Sus scrofa: one gene and its partners. The protein of the gene in region 4 purifies or fractionates together with the protein of the main gene of each other region. This does not show direct contact. Links are inferred from orthologs where the notes say so. Each region holds a gene or a part of one and is shown on either strand. Other genes may lie near its edges. The genes, in order: FUT8, PDS5B, METTL9, SLC30A4, KIAA1524 and C2H19orf25.

Region 1 (4,226 bases), on a different chromosome or scaffold from region 4:
AAAATCATAGTTCCAAATGTCTGAATTCCCATCTCATCCTTACTACTTTACTGTAGTGTTTATAAATCAAGTAATTAAGACTTTCTATACACTTTTTGTGGTACATATCACAAGGCTAGCAATGTACAGAGCCTTATTATACAGCCTAGGATTTTAGGTTAACTTTATTTTTAAAAAGAAGGAACATAATTTACTCCATTATTTCAATAATAACTCTACAGTGCTGAAATTTTCTCTCCTAAATGTTTTCTGTATGATGCACCCTTTAAAGAACTATGCATAAAAGCAAATTTAATCAAGAAAATAAATACATCTTTAAGCCCAAGAATAACAAGGGGGAGAAAAACTGTAATTAAACCTTGCCTGCAGTTTTTAAGGAGAGCCAAGCCAAAGTTCAATCAGTTACTTGTGATGAATTTAACTGTAAACTGATGGAAAACTTTTGTCGAAATTTGGTTGGTGTTACCTTGAGATCTGGGGTTTATACAGGAGATCCTGGCTTTCCCAGGTCCACTTTGAGGTGGCTTAAGTCAACTGTAATTCAAACATGGGAAGAAGAAACAATACCTCCCCTGCCTCTACCCAAGGCCTCAGTCAGAACTCCAATATACACCAAAACGCTAAAGCTCACCGGGGATAAACTCTAACCATGACACTGCCATTTAACTTAAGAAATACACTGCGTCTCTGGCATTCTGTGTGTTGAAGATTGCAAATCCCCACTGTGAGTGAAAAACAGGTACTGCACTCGTCAGCCCACTCACTCGGGCAGGACAAACCTCCTTTAACAAATAAATATGGACTCATTTAACCTAAATAAGTTTAGATACTCAAAAGCCGCCAGCTCATCATTTCCACATCAAATGAGGGTGCAGCGGCACTCACACCGTGAACTGCCCTGGCACCGGCCCCTCGCCGGGAGCGGATCTTTGCCCGGGTCCACTCCCCCATTTCCAGCCGGAGAACCCCTCAGAAAGCCCCTAACGCACAAACATGCTCCTCCCCACAGTCTGTGACTACAGGAAGCGACTTGCAGGAGAAAGGGCAGGTAGGTGTGGAGAGAAGACGGACACCTCCCACCCCCGCCCCCATCTCTTCTCTCCTCCGCTCTGGCTCCTACCCTAACCAAGGATGCGCGACACAGAGGGCAGCGGCCGTGCCGCTCCAAGTCCCGACCCGGGCGGCGGGCACCCCTAGTCCCCAGCCCGCACCCACCCCTGGGCCGGCAAAGGGACCCCCCAGAGCGTCCCGGGGGCTCCCTCCCCACTTTTCCAGGAACCGCTGGATAAGCAGCAGCAGTGGCGGCAACAGGCCTGGGGGTCGCCTGGGGGGAAAGGGGCAGCGACAGCGGGGAGAGGCACCTCCCCGAGCCTCCCGAGATCCCGCGCTTGCCCAGCCCCAGACCCCGAGTAGCTCGGGGCCCGGCTCCCAAACGCCCCCTTACCCGAGGCGGGAGCAGAGGCGGTCTCCGCCGTTTCCCAGTCGCCGCCGCCGCCGCCGCCACAGCCCTCAGCCGCAGCTGCCCAGAGCTGGGGGAGTGGGAGGGGTGGCTGGGTGGAGGATGCTACTCCCTACTGAAGGGAGAGGAAGAAACGGAAACAGGAACCGCCGCTGCCACTGCTTAACGGAGCCTTCGGCGCCACTGACTGAGGGAGAGCGCGAGGCGGCGCGAGCCAGGCAGTAGCTGACAGCGAAAGACCGAGAGCGAACCGGGTCCCGGGCGCGCGACCCAGAGCAGCGCCGGCCCCATTCCGGGAAGAGAATAAGGGGACGGGTCGGTCGGGGGCTGGGAGAGGGCGGCGGGGGGCGGGGGCCTGGAGCGGAGGGAACCTGGCTACTCTGGTTGTCCAGAGATAACACGCGCACGCGCCAGAGCCGCTCTGACAAGGAGCGCAGGAAGGGAAGCTTCAGCTAGCGCAAGCGTGCGCGCGCGAATGGGGGCGCGCGCCCCTCAGCGTTCCAGGCTTCTGGGAGGAGGCGCGCATGCGCCGGCCGCTGCCACCTACGGCGACCCCAGCATGTGCCAGGGCTTCTCCCCGCCCCCTTCTGGTCGCGTAACCGCAGCATCCACCACCCAGCTGAGCCCTGAGCCACAGCGGGACCCGGAGACATCCAGCCGGGCAGCGGCTGCGCGCTCAGGCGCTGGCTCCCACACAAGCGTAGGCCGCCCTCTACCGCCCGAAGGCCGGAGGCTGAAGGGGGCGCGAGTGGAGCCGGACTCTCCATTCCCTGAAGCTCCACCTCCGGCAATGCCGTATTCTCGACCGCTGGGGAAAGGACCAGCCCGTGCCAATTCAGCCCGCGGCCCTAAAGAGCACTGGTATCAGGAGCAGTCTGCTTGCTACTTTTTAGGAGTGATTGCTGCTGCTCAGCCCATGCCTGCAGCCCAGGTCTGGCCGCTCCACTGCAGCGTGCAGCATGATCTTAGAATAGCATCGTACCCGCATTCGACTAGTGAAGCCCTGTTTTATCCTATGAGAGCTGTGTTTCCACACTCGCCCGGCTGAAAAACAGCGCCCCCCCCTTAAGGGCTGAGTTCAGTGCCTGGCCTCTCCCCCCCACCGGCGGCTGCGACAGCCCCTCTGAGGCGGAAGTTACGGGAAAGAGAACATGGGGCGGGGGAGGGAGCTTTTCCCTAGGATGCTTCCTACCCGCTCGGACTCGGGAAATTCCTGGCGCCCGCGATGCAAAGCAGTGGGCCGAAGAGCTAGCCCAGACCAGCCCAAATGGCAAGCTGAGCCGGAGGACCTTCGCGCCGCCGGGGCACACAAAGTAGTCGCGGGCTGAAAGGGGGTGCCACAATGGCCAATCAGAGACGAGAGCCGCGTGAGTGGAGTGGGAGCCGACCAATCATAGGGCAGGAGGATGAGCTTCCCGTACCGAACTCTTCCTTGTAGCCTCCGGACCCAGATCCCAAGCCTAGGGTGCTATACCTCGGGAAAGTGAAATGGTGCCCTAAAGACAGAAGAATTATTTGTTTAGACTTGAGTATTTTTAAGTAAATGCCTTAAGTACATATCACAGAGCAAAGAGCGAAGGCCCTTTGGATGCCGACTATGAAAGGATCACTGAAAAGAGATTTAAGAACAGTGGCCTGCCAAAACTGCAATCTGCCTAATAACGTTCATAAATTTACAATATTTACTGACACCTCTTTATGGGCCAGGAACTGTATTACAGAAGTACAATAAGATACTGCTGATTCAAAGAAGGAAAAAAGTTCCCTGTCCTCAAGAAGCTGTCTCTTCTGCTGGACCTTGTGACTGGTATTTATCATCAACCCTTTAAAGGAAAAGCGCCCTCGAAGTAGGCGTTTATGGCCATTCCTATGATTAACTCCCTGTAAGAAAAGAAATTTGAGAGAAAAGTAGAGTGACTTATCCAAGGTCACACAAAACCACCTCAGAGTTTGGGTGCAATCATTTATAACAGTCATTTATCGAATGCATGGTTGCTATCCTCCACGGAGGAGTTTTCTGCACTAAGCTTATAAAGTCAACAAAATTCTGCAATAAGGGCCACAAAGTTTAGTTCTTGGAAATGAACAAAAATTTGGGGCTTATGCCATAGTAAATAAAGGCCAAAGTCTTATAAAACTGTAAGTAATTTTTAGAAGTCATAGAGATGAGATGGATACTTAGTTTTTAGTTTAAAAGGCACTTTATAAAATATTTTAGCAAGCATGTGACTCAGCAGAAAAGAATTCGACTAGTATCTGTAGGGATGCGGGTTGGATCCCTGGCCCTGCTCAGCGGGTTAAGGATCCTGGGTTGCCATGAGCTGCGGTGTGTGTCGCAGAAGCAGCTTGAAGCTCCTAATCCACCCCTAGTCTGGGAACTTCCATACACTGTAGGTGCACCACCTCCCGCCCCCTCCCCCCAAAAAAAGCTTACCTTGTATAATACTTTTAAGATGTCCAATTTCAAAGCTTTACTTTACATTTGCCTCAAAATGTCTGGGTTTTTTTATGTGGCCTTCATTTTTCCTTTCCAAAAACCTAGGGATTGAAATATATTCTCTTCCTCCTTCTGCTAAAAAAAAAAAAAAAAAAAAAAAAAATCTGTCCGAAGAATGTCCAGAATTTAGTGTGCTTTTATAGGGAAGTATAATATATATCAAAATATCAAGTAACTTTGATATCTCTAAAATACACTCAAAAACCAATTCTGCAGCAATGCAGATTGTGTTGAGTCAGTGTGTGTCTCAGCCTCTGACAGAACACTGTT
Region 2 (3,500 bases), on a different chromosome or scaffold from region 4:
AAACCAGAATGTTCAGGTAGGCATCGATTTTTATTCACTGACATGAAATGTTTTGAGTTACGTTACTTTAGAGATCAGAGCTTTGGTGTAATCCTTAAATATAAAGTATAATATTTCTTATGTACTCACCTCCCTTTTATTCTTCCAGGAGAGCTTGGATTTGAGCTGCTGCTTGCATTGCTTACAGTTTCCATTCGTGATGATTTTGTCTGAGATTGTTTGCCTGCTGATGAAAGCGGCTTATTAACAGCTCCTAGAACATTGGTTGTTTTAGGCTGAAATGAAAAATGCATATCTCTTTCTATTTGATTAGAACCAAAAGAAATTTAGATACAAAGAATCATAAATAACATCTGTCAAAGAATTTACATATACAAATCCATGAAAAATCTGCCTACTCTTAAGCAAAATAAGGATTATAGATTGAATATCACCTGAACAAATAAACTATATAAACAGAGTAACAGTTAAGTTTCTTAGTTATGTGCAGGAAAAGGTTTACATAGAAAGTAAGGACAAATAAAATGCACAGTCAACAATGAAAACTGGTAATCACAGACTCTTGCTACAAAGGAAGGACATAAGGTATTTTTACTTTAATATTTTTATCTTAATATTACAGGATATTTAAGAATCACGGTCTCCAGGGTTTTATTGTAAGGTAAAAAGTAAGTTCTGTATCTCAGTTTGCATCTATATAGAAAATATTTCTTCTTAGTAAATGGAGGATATCTAATACTTCTATTTTCTTTTGACACACCAATTTTTAAAGAAATGCAAAACAATATCATTATGTTAACAGCCACACTAAAAAAAACTACCACATAAAAATTAAAACAATTTTCAAAACATACTTTTCCAGGAGTAAAAAACGATTTCATTTCTGGAGGCAGATAATTTTTGGTGTTACTGAAGTTCTACGAGCAAGGGAAAAAAGACATAGTCAAGGAATACTGAAACACTGTCTCTATCAGGTGATTCAAGCTAACAAAGCACAGAGCAGCTTTTGTTTTAAAGTATGTTATAAAATACATATTTATTTAAACTAAAAAATCAGTTGCAACACAAAATTTCAGTCGGTGATTTTAAATGCTATAATAAGTGTGAACTAACCTCATACTAACTCTAGTATAAATACAACACATCTGAGCTCTAACACACTAGAGTTCCAAGAATATATCAGCAAACAAATGCTTCTATAATAATGCTCTCCAGGGAACAGGACACATATACTCCTGTTACCTTCATCACAGAAAGGTGAATGCTCAGAAGCAGACAGTCTCTTTTATTGGGTGAACCTAACTGGCCCATTCCGATTTGTAAGCACTGGTAAGTAGTGACTGTTTCGTTACTCTCAGTCCCTTAATAGGCTTAGATGCACTATGAATCTCTATTCTAAAAGACATTTTTTGGTATCATACAATACTTGAGTTTTCCAAGAGTGGTTTGGGAACATTCCTGAAGTGTTTCCAGGGTCTTGCGACTGTTCCAGCACTAGTTCTCTGCTTGCTTCCTCCTACCAGTTACAAATCTCCATCAAGAACCTATTAACTTCAAATCACACCAGCATTCTCCTTCCCTTTTTAGATCAATGGCCACTAACCAATATTTACAGGCTTTAATCACACTTTTGCCTGTGCTCTTAGACTGACATAAAACTTGCAACACAAACTCTAGAGCATCCCAATTCAACTCTGAAGCTTATCTGTGTCCTCCAGTTTGGCCCCTATGCTGGTCTTGAACCACACTGTTAAGATTCACCGCGACCTTTCCATGACATTAGGAGTGGGCCAACTCTTGATACTGATCCTTCCTGATCTTCCCACAACCTAGGGGTGAGAACACGTTTTATTTCAACTTACACAAACAAATTCTTAAAAAACTACCTTGTCAGGTTGGGTGAAAAAACGAGCTGGCAGTACTGGGTCTTTAGGAGATTCCAAACTATATGTGGTGCTTTTTGACATGATGATATTCATGGCAACATCACACACAGTATACAGTTTCTGCAATGGTATTAAAAAAAATTTAGGTACTTAAGTTGGCATCCCAGACTCTGTGAATTAGGAGTAATTCTGGAACATGCTTAATCTGTTATTATTATTAGTTACTAGTAACAGCATTGCTACTAATTTTATAGTAATTCTATATTAGTAAGTCTAATTACTACTGATACAAACACCATGCACTTTTTACTACTAATAGAAAAGAATGATGTCGTCCATAGAAGTTTCATACCCTATACTTCAATGTTTAAAACTGACATGGAATCATAATTATTGACAAAAAATTACATACTTCATTCATTTTTGCATCATCTGGTCCTTGAGCATCTTTTGTTTGTTTAATATTTTCTACCATCTTTCTGATAAATGCATGACTGTTATTTTCATTTTTAGCCATTAATATTTCCAGAACAAACCAAAGACATCTAAAAAAAATACCAGAAGAAAGAAAAAATTCATTATTAAATACAGATAAAATGATTTAAAATATAATAATGAACTCCAGGAGCAGAAAAAATTAAAAGCAAATAGCCATAAATCGATAGAGAAAAAGGGGTATGTCACATACATATCAGCAATGTGGGTATGAGTTCATAAGACCCCCTCTCAAAGTTTCACTAATTTTACTAAGAAGGCAGGTTAAAAAGAAACAGAAATGGTAGAGAGAATGAAGGGAGGCCTGCCTAAAGGAATAACTAAGGCACAGACAAAGTGAAGCCTCAGATATTCAAGCCTGACTGTAGTCCTGAATGGAAGTCATCAAGAAAATCTAAACTCCTTACTCAGTAGTTAAGAATCTTCATCAATAAATTAGAGGGAACAACTCTACATACTGTTTTTGCTTAAAACGGGGAAAAAAGAATAAAGTTTCAATATTTTAGTTTTAAAGTTAATTACATTAAACCTGGAAAAACTAAAGTGCTTTGTCACTATTATATAAATAGAATGGGACAGAGTGATATCACAGAAGAGAAAATGGAGAGGAAAGGGAAATGTGAAACAATGTATTATTCTAGAAGGGGGAAAAATAACCTTTGAGACCTCAGGCAGAGGCTGTTTTTCTGGAGTGGTTCTCTGATAGAATGGAGATCACTCTTGGCTGGAGTAGGGCAATGTACAAATCTAGCCAAAAATGTCTAGTAAATTCCAAAGAATATTTCATCTATTTTAAAAACCAGTGTTCTCTGAGAAAGAGGGGTAGCAGAAAGCTTTTCTTTGATATAATCACTCAACAGAGAATTCATTTTGGGAAAATTAACTGCTTATTTTTTAAAAATAGAAACCGTGGCAAAAAGAAGGTAAAAGCCTTTCTCTTGTCATGAGAAAGTTATCAGTAATTTAATTTTATTCTCTTAAAGCATCTCAAATGTTTAACTCTGGCCACAAAGTTCATCCTTCATTGAAACAGAAACAGGGTCTCATTCTTAAAGAACTCTGCTGGTCTTATAAGGACCTCTCTAAAAAATGTTATATTCCCCTATTCCACATCCAAGC
Region 3 (3,995 bases), on a different chromosome or scaffold from region 4:
CATGGACAACACTGCCATAATGTGAACATATCAACGCAAAACAATGTCTGGGTTGATTATTCGAAGGAAAAAGGCCAATGTCCCCCACCACCTCCCAATATTCAGAAAGCACCAGATTAGTTTTCACTTTGGAGAAATTAGCTGCTAAATAATGAAGTGCAACTGGTTAAAACATACACACATTTGAATATCTTAGAAGCATAAGGAAGTAAATGAGGTATCTGCAAGCAGTATTAGTATTCCTTAGAAGCTGACAGATTCCGCTTTAAAAAGATACACAATTACAAAGTATCCTCTACAAACATCAGATGATATCACTTATATGCGGAACCTAAAAAACAAAACAAAACAAAACAAAAAGATACAAATGAACTTATTTGCGAAAGAGTCACAGACTTTGAAAAACTAATGGTTACCAAAGGGGACAAGTAGTGGGAAAGGAGGGATGGACTGGGGGTGGGGGACTGGCATATGCCAATTACATGCCAATGCCATATACATATTCCATGTACTGAGGTACACGGAATGATTGGCCGACAGGGACCTGCTGTATAGCATAGGGAACTCTACCCAATATTCTGTGATCACCTATGTGGAAAAAGAATCTGAAACAGAATGGATGTGTGTATATGTATAACTGAATCATTCTGTTGTATAGCAGAAATTATCACTACCTTGTAAATCAACTATACTTCAGTAAAACTTTAAAAACAAACAAAAAAAGTATCATCTGTTAGAGGATATTCTGAGGCTATGTCAACAGCTATAATTCTACCTAGGATCCACAAAAATCAGGTTCCTTAGTTTCTCAGTTTTTAAATTAGTCCATTTCTTTTTTGAGCACTGAAAGTATCAGGTGTACTGCAATAGAGATAATCACAAGTGTTGTAATAAACGCCTACAGCCAAAAGATTTGACCGTAATTCCATATCAATGGAAAGGTCTTCTTTTCATCCTACCCAGAACCTTAGGTCCATCGACTGTTGGAAATGACATTTCTATTTATTATTTTACACCATTATCCATGTTCCTTATGGATATGGGACATTTTGGTTAACTACAGTGTCAGTATAGCCCAACTCTAAAAATGACTAATTACTCTATAGCCAAGAATGTGGTTTTACAAGTTAAGATCACCTACTAACTTTAAGGACACTCCGAACAATATCATAGGAGTGATTACCTAACAAAGTACAAGAGCTGTGGGATTACAAAAGAAGAAGAAAAAAAAAGTATGTTTTCCTTTAAAAATAGAAAAAGAGCCACCATAAATATTTAATAAATAAAAACTAGATACTATTTTTCTGAATGAATTGCTCTGTCTCCTAAGATCATTCTCTAGTTTCATGAAAACACATCAAAACAACCTGGGTGTTGCTCTCTGAACACCTGGTATATTAAGAAAAGTAACACAGGAAAACGAGAAAGCTATGAAAATGATGAGACACAAGATGGAATAATTAGCTACTGCTCTCTGAGAAGCCAACATGTACTATAAATGTTGGCTATGATATGCCAACACTCTGGCAGAGTTCAAAAGCCTCTTTTCAATGAATGAAATGTTAACCGCAAACGACATTATGGTCAGATAGGACCTCCACAGGCTTCAGTGGCACAAACCTAAGCTAATGAAGACTACCCAGCCGGCCACATCGCATCATTCCACGATCCAGAACCATAACTCATTAAAAAAAAACAAAAAACAAAAACACTCTTGCCCAGTTCTCTTTTAACAAAACCCTTCTAGTAAATGCTCGCACCATCTTCGTTCCTATCGCATCTCGCCAGTCAGACACCAACACCCAAGTTTAAAGGAGATCTCCCTTAGGGAAGGTTCCATAGGACAAGAGTGACGACGACCTGTCAAACGCATTTTTTTAAAGGCAGAGGGAAAATGTCACCCGAAGGAGCCAGAGAGTTAAATGGCTCACGACGCACGGTTACATTTCTTTATGACCCTTTGTACGTTCAGAGATTCAACCAGACAAAAAGAGGGACCGGCTTTTCGGTTGGATTCTCAGGGGTAATGAAGGCCGTCCGGGGTAATGGGTTTGATCCGGTTATTTAGATCTCAGGCCCCGGTGCCAGGTGGGTCCCCGTCACCACGCGCTGGCCCGAAAGTTCCTCGGTCCCGCTCCGGGGAGCCGACGCCGAGGTGGCCGAGCGCCTGCAATCACTGCCCGGGACCCGGGAACAATGTGGGGTTCCGGGGCGCCCATGCCTGGGCGGGGGAGGGACCCGGGAGGCCGTCGTCCGCCGCGCCGCGGAACAAAAGGCACCGCTGGGCCTGGACCCGGCGTCCGGCGGGGAAGACGCGGGGGAAACTTTGTGGGGCGCTGGGGCGAGGCCCGGGGGCCCCTTCGCCACGACGCCCGGCACAATAGCCCGGCCGAGCGCGGGAAGGCCGGCCGCCACGCCCCCGCCCCGCCGGGCCCGGGTTCGGCCGCGTACCTGGTGGTTGTCCTTCCTGCCACCCGCGGCCGCCGCCGGCCCGCCCGGGCCGCTCGTCATGTTCACGTACAGGGAGCGGGTGAGAGGGCTCCGCAGCGTCCACATCCTCCTCGCCAGCCACACGGACGCCAGGCTCAGGCACAGCCAGCCCACGAACAGTCTCATCGGGGGCCGCGGCCGCTCGCTCCGATCACCGCCGGCGCCGGGGCGAGGAGGACGTGCCGCCGCCTCCAGCCGCAGCTGCCGCTGCCCGGGCTCGAGCCATCGCGCCCAACTTGCCCATCCAGCCCCTTTTAGGGCCGAGGCGGGGGGCGGGGGTGGGGAAGAGCGGGCGGTGCGCAGCCTTCTCGCCTCCCCCTTCCTCTCCGCCCGCGGAACGCCGCCGCCGCGGGCGCCAGTTTCCACACGGACCACGTACGCGCTGCTGCGGCGCGCCCCCTCCGGAGCACGCTCCCTCCGCCCCATGGGCTGTCCGCCCGGGAGGCGGGACAAAGGGAGCGCGCTCCCGCCTCCCGTCTGGTGTCGGCTTGTAATGGCGGAAACGGTTTTAATATGTTTAGGCCAGGGGAGATCGTTTCCAAAGGCGGTAACTGAGGCCTCCCCATCCCTCCAAGGTAGTGTCCGTAGTTCTTCTGGCCTTTCCTCCCCTGAGTCTTTGCTCTGAGCCCCTCATCCAGCCCCCTGCGGGTCTTTCACCTGGTTGTGCAGATTGACCCAGGCGGCGAGCCTCCTCCCTTTCGTATATTCAGACACTCGGACCAAGTATTCGCCAGAGACGGAGACTGTCAGTTCGTAACTATTTCTGGCTCAGTTGCGTGGCTTCCTATTTACATTTAGAGCCGACCAGCCAGGCCCCCACCCCCAGGATCTCCACCCTGCCAAGCGAATGGGCATCTAGAGGGGAAGGGCTACCTCCAACCCTTCACCACCTCCCCGCCCAGTCCCCCAGGCCTGGCAAGTTGCTGGCTACTGTTCCTAAGAGGCATCAGCGAAAGCTCTGCCTTTGTTGGAAGTTCCTGCAGCTGGGACACCTGCACGTAATATTTTGGTGTGTTAATGACTCTGTCCAAGAACGAAGACCCCAAATTAAGAGTCCCTGGATGCTTGTTTCCTTGAACTAACGGAAGTCAGACCCAACACTCCTTAAAGCCAGCTAAGCTTTAGGAGCAATATTTACCCAGATGTTTCTTTGATCATTTATAGCACGGGAAGACCTAGCAACGTTTCAAAACTGAAGGGTTACACTGTGTTCCTGTGTCTGAAGTTCTTCCTGCTGCCACCTAAGCTACAAGTGAGTGACCTATTTCATGGGCCCTCTCGCTTTAACACCTTTCTAGGTTCGTTTAGAAAATGCTTTTAATTTAACTGCACTAGAAATCATGTAAATACACTTTATCTTCGTTCAAACAAAAGCAATAGACCTTTCTGGTAACTCCATTAGTGAACTTCAGAGATTGTCTTTTAACAGTGGCTGTGGTGATCCACTGATGAGGGAAAAAACTGTCCCTTACCCACAGACATTTTTATTGGCTTCTGAGACTCAG
Region 4 (3,500 bases):
CATCTGTAATAACTGTGCCACTCTGGTGAGGGATGTTGACAATGGAAAGGCTATGCATGTGTGGGGGTAGGGTATGTACAGGAAATCTCTATATCTTCTGCTTAGCTTAGCTATGAACCTAAATCTCCTGTTAAAATTACAAAGCCCATTAAAAACATTTTTTTTAAACAAAATAGAGCTTACATCACATTAACTGCAACTCCAACAGCTGCGGTAATGAGCATTATATCTCCATTTATTTCATATTTCATATGGATAGTTCTTTGGACAGCTTCATATAGGAGGAATCCCATAAGTATATACACCAATAGCACACTAATCATAGCTGACAAGACCTCTGGAGGGAAAAATATAAAAAAAAAATATTTGTAGCATGGTTATTTCATACATACTAAATACTGTACAATTTCTTATTTATATCTTCTTTCCTCTAAGGAGATAAAAGTGCTATGTTATTTTTGTCATGTTATTTTTCTTATTTGAAAAGTGTTCAGTAGTTTGATTTGGATCTTTCACCCCACCACTGCCTACCTTCTCCTTATGTCTTTAGGGTCAAATTATATATATTTCCAGACCATACACTTGGTTAAAAAAAAAAACAAACCTGAAAAACTAAGGAAAAAAATTTGTAGCATACCTGAATGACCACAGACTAATTTGTAAGTGTAAAACCAATAAAAAAGTGAACAATGGGTAGAGGACACAAATACTAATACAAAGAAAATATGCAGAAAGGACCAATTTATGGAAATCAACCATAATACAAGAAATTCAAATAAGAATTCTCTTGCCCCTTACTAAATTGGCAAAGATTAAAAAGTTTGATAACAGCCAGAGTTAGCAAGGATATACTGGTGGAAGTATCAAATAGGCTATATTTTTGGAGAGCAGTTTGTAAAATTAATAAAAATTTAAAATGCATATATTCCTTAACTCTAGGAATCAATCCAATAGAAACACATCCATATGAATGCAAAGCCATCTATAAGGTTTTTCATTGTAGCTCTGTCTATAGGTATCCAAAAAGATCTGGAGGAGTGCCCATCCTGGCTCAGTGGTAACGAACCTGACTAGGATCCATGAGGATGCAGGTTCAATCCCTGGCCTTGCTCAGTGGGTTAAGGATCTGGCACTGCCATGAGCTGTGGTGTAGGTCACAGATGTGGCTTGGATCTGGCATGGCTGTGGCTATGGTTGGCAGCTATAATTCGAATTCGACCCCTAGCCTGGGAAATTCCATGTGCTGTGGGTGTGGCCCTGAAAAGCAAAGAAAAAAAAAAAGATCTGGAGACATCCTAAATGTCTACCAATGAGGAACTTAATGGCTAAATTATGGTATGCGCTTATAATGAGATATCATATAGTCATTTATATTTTTTTAAAAGAGGAAAAACAATCAGGCATATTGATAATCTAATCACAAGAAAGACAGATAAGAAAGTGTCATACCTGGGAAGTGAGACTAAGAGTTTAGGAAATTTATTTTTCACTTTATTCTTTCTGGTAATATTTGAAAAGTTTTAAGTTTTTATTATAAACTCATTTACCTTTAGAATAAAGAAAAACACATTCTTTTTAAGGCATGTAAGTATTCATGAATGCACTTCGACTCAGAAATTTTTCTTCCAGGAATGATATACACACTCATGCCAATTAAGTTGCATATTTACAAAATGCGGTATGTTCTGAAGCTATTCCTCAAGCATTGTATATACAGCAAACAACTGAAAACAACTGAAGTGATTAGTAGGGGCCTTGTAACATGGAATACCATGCAGCTATAAAAAATTAGGCTCTTTATGTTAATGATATGGAATAATCTCCAAAATACAGTGTTATGTGAAAAAAGAAAAGCACACAACAATATACATGGTATATTAGCATTTATGAGAAAAGAAGTAAGAGAATATATAATGGTCTATACATGCAAACTCTGGAAGAATATACAAAATACTGATAAAAACTGATTATTAGGAGAATGGGTGGCTAGGACACAGGAATGACTTTGCACTATATATTCTTTTACATCATGTGAATTTTCTACTTTGCAAGTATAAAGTAGAATAATTTTATATCTTTTCAAAATAACAGAAATAGGGCAATGTAAAGTATATTTTAAAATAATTAACATTATTATATAAAACTAGTATTGACAAAACAATAACAGCAAGAAAATAGATAATTTTTTTTCTTTAAAGAAACTAGATATTAAAGCTTTAAGTGTTAAAAGTTAAAACAGTCCGGGAAATTGTTATCTGGGTCAACTTATTGCTCAAAGGTTGGGGCAATTCAAGTATATTGGACTTTGATACATTTTTATTCCAGCTCATAAATTATAACAGAAAAATCATCTAGCAGAAATAAGCTGTTTCCTGAAGATGTTAATGTAGCCAAAACTCTAATAAAATTCTGAACATCAACAAAATAAATGTTAGAATAAGACCAAAAAACACAACTACTATTCAAAACCATGATTCATCTATTCCTGACATACTAATTATCATACTTTGAAGGAGACATAGGACTGAAGAAAACAGAAAAAAAAAACTGAAATACACAAAGTCCAGACTCTTAAGCCCCTTGAGAGTATGACCACATTAGATTCTACACCATGTTTACTGTAGCACTCACCAGAAAGACTGACATGTTGCATATACTCACATAGCTATGGATGAATCTGTAGAATGAAGTTAGGCTGAGCAAGGGAAGATAAATGGCTATATATATAATTAAAGAAAGTTAAGCTAAATGTGAACAATAGATTATTAACCAAATCCCCCAAAATAGGAAGAGGTTAAAAGAGAAGAATTAAGCCAAATATAAACCAAAAACACATGGTTTTGTCTTAAGTTATAACCACTGATGGCAAAATACACACATATAAATAAATACATAAATTAAAAATTTTTGAACTGGAAAATCTCATATACTAATGATAGACTCTTCATTTTACTCATGAAGAAAGATAAATTTAATTCTCTTTAATATTGATGTTTAAAAAATATCAATCCTTCTCAAACTGTTAAAAAATAATTTTTTTTTTTTGTCTTTGTAGGGCCACACCCGCGGCATACGGAGGTTCCCGGGCTAGGGGTCTAATCGGAGCTACAGCTGCTGGCCTACACCACAGCCACAGCACAGCAACGCCAGATCTGAGCCATGTCTATGACCTACACCACAGCTCACGGCAATGCCGGATCCTTAACCCACTGAGCGAGGCCAGGGATTGAACCCTCAACCTCATGGTTCCTAGTCGGATTTGTTTCCGCTGCGCCACGAAGGGAACTCCTAAAAAAAAATTTTAATCATCAAGGCTTAATCGTCAAGGCTGAAGCTAGCTAGCAATAGTTTTAAAGATGCCTTAATCAAATTTTAAATATGAAATTATAAAGCAATACACTTTATAAAGAGTAACAGCTATGCAACTTAATGACATTGAGATGTCATTGCTTATGAAAATCTAAAACCAATAATTAAAAAATTCTTTCAAAATTCCCTGT
Region 5 (3,500 bases), on a different chromosome or scaffold from region 4:
ACTAACCTGGCTATTGCACAAGAAGATTTGGGTAAGATCTAACATGTCTGTGGGAATTTGAAAGTATATTTTTTAAGCTGGGGGCCATGCGATGGTGGTGGGAGCATAGGCTTGGAAGATGGATTGCTATGTTAAAATGTTGGAATTTTATGATAGATTTTTTTGCTCTTTTCAAACTTTACAGAATATTGTTACTTTTGATATTAAAAGATCAAGTTTCAGTGATCAAATCTGCATCTAAATTTATTTAAATAAATGTTATAATAAGGGCTGATATTTAGTTGGTATGTACCAGGCAGAATCTCATTTATAATGGCTATCTATCACTCACCACAACTCCAGACTGAAGTTTCTCTATTAATTCCTCAATGTTCAATCCAGGAACTCTATCTTTCAAAACTGGAGGAGTTAAACATTTTACTGATGCTGGAAAACTGTGATTTAATGATTGCAAAGGCATTCTTCTGGGCATATGTTCTGTTTCCTGTTGCCTATAGGCATTGTTTGCTGCTATACTTTCTCCAAGTCTGAATTGGAATTAAAATCAAAAAAAAAAGAGAGAGAGAAATAATTATATAAAAATAGAGCAAAAGGCAGAGTTAGTACAGGGACTAACTAATGATGGGACCCATAATTTAGAATGGGTCTTTTTTGGGAATATAAGTCTTCAAATATTTCTGAAATAATCTTGGAATCTATGATGAAGCAGGATTTGGGGAAATATCCTAAATTTGCCAGAGGAAACTCTTTTGTACTAACAACCCTTTACAATGACAATTCCACCTCTGGTTTGGAGGCACTAGAACTAGTTTATGAGGGTAGATTATTTATAAAAAAATTAAATACAAAGTTATTGGTGTCTTTCTTACCATGGGCAACATCACTTGGTCTGACCTTTTCTTTCACCCTTTTCTTTTCTCACTCAGGATGGTCTCACCAACCTGACCTTCATTTTTACCATCTTGTTTCTGCCTCAGGGCCTTTGTACAAGTTGTTCATTTGCCTAGAACACTCTTCCCTCTAAATCTGCATAGCATAATCCTTATCATCAAGTCTCAGTTTAGATTCACTTCCTCAGGGCCTTCCAACCCTAGTAACAAGTGCATTATAAACCTTATTTTTTAAAAAACCTGTCTCTCAACTAGAATGCAAATCTCATGACAGAAGGCCGCCTGTCTAATTTACTGCAATATTCAAAATGCCTAGAAGAGAGCCTGGCACATAGCTGGGACTCACCAGTTATTTAAACATTTGTTAAATGTTTAAAAAACAAACTCCAAAATAAACCTAGCTATGCACCTACCTACCCACCCATCCAGTATATAAATTCACATTATTAAACTAGGATAATATAAACTGAGGCATAAATGGACATAATAGACATAAATGGATATCTGAGATAGTGTGCAAAGAGAAAATAACACAACACAAGTTATGATGGGGAGGGGATGGCAAAGACAGAGAGACACATGATAAGACTCCCACTTCAGCAAAGCTGAAGCTTTCCACTCTGACACCTGGGGATTTTGCTTCATGTCAGATTTCCACAGTAGATGCAAGCAAGCTACCACAAAATGAAACAGCTTCACAGACTCCTATTTTGCTTTGAGAAACACACTATTTGTCCATTCGCTTGTTAAAAAATATGATAAAATGAAGGGAATTGCAATTCATGGTCTCTAGGTCATGTTTTCCACAGTTCTTCATCCCTTAATTTATGATTACTTAAATGAGTCTGCTCAGTTAATAGAAGTAGCAAAGATTGGCAAACTTTTTCTTAAAGGACAGGGCAGTTAAGTATTTTAGGCTTGAGGGTCCATAGTCTTTGTTACGACTAACCAGCCCTAATGTTGTAGCATGAATGTAAACATACACAATACAGACAAAATGAAATGGGGATAGTGTGAGAAAAAGAATACATATATATGTATGACTGGGTCACTTTGCTGTACAGTAGAAATTGCCAGAACACTGTAAACCAGCTATAATGGAGAAAATAAAAATCATTAAAAAAACACATTCACACTCCCTTCAAAAAAAAGAAAAAGAAAATAAATGAATGGGTATGGTTTTGTTCCAATAAAATTTTATTTACAAAAACAAGCTCCTGTCTGCTGTCTAGAGTTTGCTGACCTGACATGAACAAATGTCTTACTGACTTACCAACTGTCTCAATTCATTCAAACCACCTTTGCAATTTCATTTATATAAACCACCTAATCTTATTAAAATTAGAGCGGAACACTACTAGACATTTTGTCAACCTTTCAGTTTACAGAGAGCTCCAAATCTGAATTTTTTTCAAACCTAACTGCAAATATTTTCTTAATGTTTGAAAATGAGTATAGCAGACAATTCTGCTTGACTATTATTTATTCCACCTTCAGATAATAAGAACATTTTCTTTAGGAATCCCTTCCTTGGCAAATGACCCAGATCTGGTCAATGGGAATGATGCTAGACTTATCACTAGACTTATCACTTAAACAATTGGGAAAGAAAAGCACTTTCTATGGAGAAACTAAACTGGCAGGATTACGATTAGTCTGGAAGCTACAACAATAAGAGAGGTGTTCAGACAGAGAGGTGTAACATCTGGATAACATATTTAATCACTTGGATGGATCTAGCTATTCCCTAAAAGACTTTACATGTGGTCTTTTGAGTTGTTGGAATCAAACTTTTTAAATTGAAATTTTTTTTCACTTGAAAAATTATTATTACAATGAAGTCTTCAATTCACTGATTTTCCAATCTCTCTCTGCTGAAGACTATTAGGGAAACACAGCAAACACTCCAGCACCACAAGAGATACATTGCCACTGACTATAACTCACACTAAGGCCGGAAAATCTGGCAGTGGAGCAGCTTCCAATAATATTCCCAATCCAGACTGTACTTGTTCTCTATTATCTGATGTTAAAGCAAAAGCCAAAGGAGTAATCAGGCGAGGATCCTAAGCAAATCAGAAACCAAAAAATAAAAAGCAGAAAGGATAATGTTAGGTCTTTTAGAGTAAGGTGAGTAAACAGATCTAAATCATTACATAATTCTAGGCAAGTTCTAAAGTCTTTCTACCTGATGTTTGAACATATTTACTAGCCTTTACTTCATTACAATTATCTATAAAATCAATATTAATGTTAGCTTAAAAAATCTGGCAAAGATTTTTGAATGCTTTTGGTGCCTACTAAATGCATGTCAAATATTTTTGATTAAATTAATATTTAATACTTGATTAAACAGCATTCACAACTGACTGATGTTCTGAATTATTGTTTTATTTTTCTAGCTACCATTTAAAAGAAAATTGGGCTATAAAAATGGCTAGTCATTTCCAAATTAAAGTTAAAAAAAGGTAAAATTCAAATTAATTCAATAAAAAATTTTAATGTAGTGAATGAAACAACTATACTTAAAGTATAACTCCTTCATGTCAGTAAGTATTTTACATTAGTACTTAGGCCCAAATCATCTATTCTGAAAAAAAAAATTATTGA
Region 6 (4,045 bases), on a different chromosome or scaffold from region 4:
CCACCCAGCTCTGCCCAGCTCTGGAGTTAGGCCTGAAGTGGTGTCTGGCTCTGCAAATCCAGGCTGCGTGTCCAGAGGCACCTGGCTGCCTTCTCAGAGCCTCCGTAGCCATCCTGTGCAGCAGCATGAAGTCTGGCACCTGCCTCACCAAATACTCTTGAGGGTCAAGAGGTAATTTTCCCACCTGGCACACAGTAAATGCCCAAAACATGCCAGCTTGGGGCAGTCACTTTGGGAAATAGGTCCATAGTCAGTTAAACATAGAGTTACCATATGACCTAACAGTTCTGCTCCTAAGTATGTACCCAAGAAAACTAAAGACACATTCACACAACACTTGTAAGAATGTTCACAGCAGCATGATTCACAGCAGACAAAATATGGAAACAACATTGTTGGATGATGGGCAAACATTATATGGTCCCTTCATGCACAGGAGCATCCCTCAGTCATGAAAGAGAGAGAAGCACCGACACTGGCTGCCATGTGAACGGACCTTGAGACCACGATGCTCAGAGAAAGGCACACTTGTGTGATTCCATGAATGTGATACGCCAAGAACAGACAAATTCATAAACATAGTGGATTGTTAAGGGATGGGGTGATGAGGATGAGGGAATGTTCTGGCTTTAGACTGCGGTGATGGTTGCACAACTTCTCTGTCTTTCTGTCTGTCTCTCTCCTATATATATTCCAAAACCATTGAATTGTACACTTTAAGCAGGTGGACTTTATAGTATGTAAATTATATAAAGCTGTTTAAAAACGCCCTCCTTGGGCTCTGTGGTGGTCTTCAGTCCTAGCCAAGAGGCGGGGGCCAAGATCACCCTCCAGAGCTACGGCCCCACCCAGGTAGGGAGGGGGTTTTAGACAAGGGAGAGGCAACCTTGAGAGGGATCCCGGAGGTTGGCCACCTCGCTGGGAACTGGTGGCCCGCTACGTGGTGAGAGACTGCACCGTAAATTTGTTGCTACGACAGCCACGTAGATTGAGGACTGCGTCTCCCTTTTGCAAAAAACCGGGCTTCAGATGCTTTGTTAGGCAGAGAGAAGAGCCGGGAACAGGACCCTGCGCCCACCCCTCGGGGGAGAGGCTGAAGTCTCATCCTTTCTGGTTCTGGTCCAATCGTTTCTTCGATCGCACCAGAACCCTGGAGGGAGCGGCCTCTTTAAGGGGGCGTGGCTTTCACGAGCCGGGGAGGATCCGGCCGGAAGCGTGTGTCTCTTGCGAGTAGGGTGGGACTGTACCGTGACCGGAAGCGGAAATGGTCGGTCGGCCGCGGAGGCGGTGCAGGTGAGTTGGCGCTGGCGGCAGCAGCCTCAGCGGGAAACTGAGGCTTGAGTGAAGGGGAACGCTGAAGCCCCTGGCTCCGTGTTGTTCAGCCCTTGGGAGGATCAGGGCAGGAAGGGCTTCGCCAGGAGCGGGGAACTGGAGCGTGTGTAGAAATTCGTTGGGCGCGAGGAACAACCCCGTCAACACTTCCTTCTCCGGTCTACCGGGATGAGCTCCAAGACCAAGAAGCGCGTGGTGCTGCCCACCCGCCCGGCGCCCCCTACAGTGGAGCAGATCTTGGAGGACGTGCGGGGGGCCCCTGCCGAGGACCCCGTCTTCACCGCTCTGGCTCCTGAAGGTAGGGGAGAGGCGACCCCGAGAGGCCAGCAGGAAGGGGTGGGGAAAAGTACCTGGCTGCTTTTAAGACAGAAGGGCAGAGTTCAGTATTCAGGACAGAAATTATCTAGCCCTGAAATGCCAAAAATACTTGCATCTGGCCTTTTGCAGAAAAAGTGTGTCCGCCCCTGTTCAGAAGATGGAAGCAGATCCGTGACTTCAGGGTTGGGCATACAGTTGTAGGGTGAATTTTGTGTTCTGCTCTATGAGGTTCATTATTCATTCAACAAACTTTCATTGAGGAGTGACCCCTCGTGGTTCAGCGGTTAACGAACCCAACTAGGATCCATGAGGATGCCGGTTTGATCCTTGGCCTCGTTCAGTGGATTAAGGATCCGGCGTTGCTGTGAGTTGCAGTGTAGGTCGCAGACGCAGCTCGGATCCTGTGTTGCTGTGGCTGTGAGGTAGGAGGGCAGCTGCAGCTCAGATTTGACCCTTAACCTGGGGACTTCCATATGACACGAGTGAGGCCCTTAAAAAAAAAAAAAAAAGCAAAGAAACAAACCTTCATTGAGACCGTATTATGGGCCGGAATCTGTTCTAAGCACTGAGGTGGAAAAACGAACAAAAAGATTAAAGTGTCTGCCTTGCTCCATTCTAGTGGGTATTGACATTCAGTATAAGGCTTGTGGGACTCTAGAAGATGAGAATAGGAGTTCTCGCTGTGGCACAGTGGGATAGGCAGTGTCTCTGCAGTGCCAAGACTCAAGTTTGATCCCTGGCCCAGCACAGCGGGTTAAAGGATTCTGCGTTGCCACAGCTAGGACATAGTAGCATCTGCAGCCTGGATCTGATCCCTGACCTGGGAACTTCCATATGCTACTGGTGTAGCCATTAAAAAAAAGAAAAAAATTCAGTTCTTTGTTACACGTGGCCACATTTCAAGTGCTCAGCAGCCCGCTTGTGCCAGCTGCTGCATTGGATAGCTACATTGGAGGATATTTCCATCACCTGGAATGTTGCGATTGAGAGGCCAGCCCAAGCAACAGGAGCCATGTTTATCCCTGGCTCACAGTTGGGTCATCGGAGGCTGCTTGAATCCCAGCCTTATGAATCACGGGTCCAGGAGTTCACGTCATGGCTCAGCGGTAACAAAGCTGACTAGCATCCATGAGGGTTCGGGTTCGATCCATGGCCTCACTCAGTGGATTAAGGATCCAGCATTGCTGTGATCTGTCCTGTAGGTTGCAGACATGGATGGTTTGGATCCTGTGTTGCTGTGGCTATGGCATAGGTTGACGGCTGCAGCTGCAATTCGACCCCTAGCCTGGGAACTTCCATATGCCACGAGTGCTGCCCTAAAAAAGCAAAAAAAAAAAAAAGGAAAGAAAAAAAAAAGAAATCATGGGTCCAGGTTCCCAGCATCCAGAGGTTGAGGGCATGAGGAATGGGCAGTGCCAGGGCTCACTCTAGGGAGAGGGGGCTTCTCTGCTGGCCTGTGTTCCTGTCAAGGACCATCCTTGGCCTCCATGTGCACTGTCTGGCCTGTCCTACCTTGTTACTAAAGCAGGTGATAAAGTGATTTATTTTTACTTTTTTTAGGGCTGCACCTTTAGCAAATGGACATTCCTGGGTTAGGGATTATATTGGAGTTTGCAGCTGCTGGCCTAGGCCACAGCCACAGTAATGTGGGATCTGAGCAGCATCTGCGACCTACACCACAGCTCACAGCAACGCCGGATCCTTAACCCACTGAGCAAGGCCAGGGATTGAACCCACACCCTCATGGATACTAGTTGGGCTCATTACTGCTATGCCACAATGGGAACTCTAATAAAGTGATTTTTAATCAAATTGCTGTTTCTGGGCCTGTTTATAGACAAGGGGACCAGGCAGAGCAGAGAGGACCTTGACATGTCTCCAAGTGGCCCTGAAATCTGTGCTTTTTTGTGCTCACTGCTCCTCCCCTGGCACACCCTTTAGGAAGCAGAGTCATTGGGAAATATATGTCTGTTCCCTCTTTGCCACCTCCCGACCCCCTGAGTGTCACACACAGCCACGGAGAGCACAGATGAGAGCCAGTCTGCTGTCAGCTTCAGGGTTACCAGAAGCTGGATAGAGCTCACCCCTAGGCAGGGCCGTGGGATGGTGAAGTCAGGCCTCCTCTGTGACTTGTCCCCTCCAGTTCATTGCTTTCTTTGGGGGGTGAATTGGGTCCTCTCTGTGACCTGGGGGCAGTGATGCTGCCTTGTCCTGTCCCCAGATTCCCCAGGCCCCTCTTGGAGGGCTGAAGATGCTGAGGCCCAGCGAGAGCAGCTCTACCAGCAGAGTCGGGACTACGTGGCCACAAACCAGAGGCTGCGTCAGGCGGGGGCCCAGCTGAAGCAGAAGTGTGAGGGGCTGCGGCAAGCCGGCGAGGACCTGGAACTGGATGTCA

What was found.
Region 1: the proteins of SLC30A4 (region 4) and FUT8 purify together in Homo sapiens (co-immunoprecipitation; 3 studies listed by BioGRID and IntAct, with this or other methods). This does not show direct contact. The link is inferred for Sus scrofa from reciprocal best matches to the Homo sapiens genes SLC30A4 and FUT8.
Region 2: the proteins of SLC30A4 (region 4) and PDS5B purify together in Homo sapiens (affinity purification with mass spectrometry; 3 studies listed by BioGRID and IntAct, counting the BioPlex papers as one, with this or other methods). This does not show direct contact. The link is inferred for Sus scrofa from reciprocal best matches to the Homo sapiens genes SLC30A4 and PDS5B.
Region 3: the proteins of SLC30A4 (region 4) and METTL9 purify together in Homo sapiens (co-immunoprecipitation; 3 studies listed by BioGRID and IntAct, with this or other methods). This does not show direct contact. The link is inferred for Sus scrofa from reciprocal best matches to the Homo sapiens genes SLC30A4 and METTL9.
Region 5: the proteins of SLC30A4 (region 4) and KIAA1524 purify together in Homo sapiens (affinity purification with mass spectrometry; 3 studies listed by BioGRID and IntAct, counting the BioPlex papers as one, with this or other methods). This does not show direct contact. The link is inferred for Sus scrofa from reciprocal best matches to the Homo sapiens genes SLC30A4 and CIP2A.
Region 6: the proteins of SLC30A4 (region 4) and C2H19orf25 purify together in Homo sapiens (affinity purification with mass spectrometry; 3 studies listed by BioGRID and IntAct, counting the BioPlex papers as one, with this or other methods). This does not show direct contact. The link is inferred for Sus scrofa from reciprocal best matches to the Homo sapiens genes SLC30A4 and C19orf25.

The regions. Positions count from the first base shown.
Region 1 is NC_010449.5:89,394,211-89,398,436, reverse strand, and holds the start of FUT8 (alpha-(1,6)-fucosyltransferase), read right to left. Parts: upstream 2,801-4,226; 5' UTR 2,652-2,800; intron 2,579-2,651; exon of another isoform or gene 1,445-2,578; intron 1-1,444. UniProt on the Homo sapiens protein: Catalyzes the addition of fucose in alpha 1-6 linkage to the first GlcNAc residue, next to the peptide chains in N-glycans.
Region 2 is NC_010453.5:9,203,194-9,206,693, reverse strand, and holds part of PDS5B (sister chromatid cohesion protein PDS5 homolog B), read right to left. Parts: intron 2,432-3,500; coding exon 2,299-2,431; intron 2,007-2,298; coding exon 1,887-2,006; intron 1,830-1,886; exon of another isoform or gene 918-1,829; coding exon 855-917; intron 276-854; coding exon 130-275; intron 1-129. UniProt on the Homo sapiens protein: Regulator of sister chromatid cohesion in mitosis which may stabilize cohesin complex association with chromatin. May couple sister chromatid cohesion during mitosis to DNA replication.
Region 3 is NC_010445.4:23,717,354-23,721,348, forward strand, and holds the start of METTL9 (methyltransferase-like protein 9 precursor), read right to left. Parts: upstream 2,801-3,995; 5' UTR 2,617-2,800; coding exon 2,452-2,616; intron 1-2,451. UniProt on the Homo sapiens protein: Protein-histidine N-methyltransferase that specifically catalyzes 1-methylhistidine (pros-methylhistidine) methylation of target proteins.
Region 4 is NC_010443.5:126,254,358-126,257,857, reverse strand, and holds part of SLC30A4 (zinc transporter 4), read right to left. Parts: intron 338-3,500; coding exon 184-337; intron 1-183. UniProt on the Homo sapiens protein: Probable proton-coupled zinc ion antiporter mediating zinc import from cytoplasm potentially into the endocytic compartment. Controls zinc deposition in milk.
Region 5 is NC_010455.5:150,951,065-150,954,564, reverse strand, and holds part of KIAA1524 (protein CIP2A), read right to left. Parts: intron 2,957-3,500; coding exon 2,838-2,956; intron 528-2,837; coding exon 332-527; intron 1-331.
Region 6 is NC_010444.4:76,997,737-77,001,781, forward strand, and holds the start of C2H19orf25 (UPF0449 protein C19orf25 homolog), read left to right. Parts: upstream 1-1,245; 5' UTR 1,246-1,500; coding exon 1,501-1,630; intron 1,631-3,871; coding exon 3,872-4,045.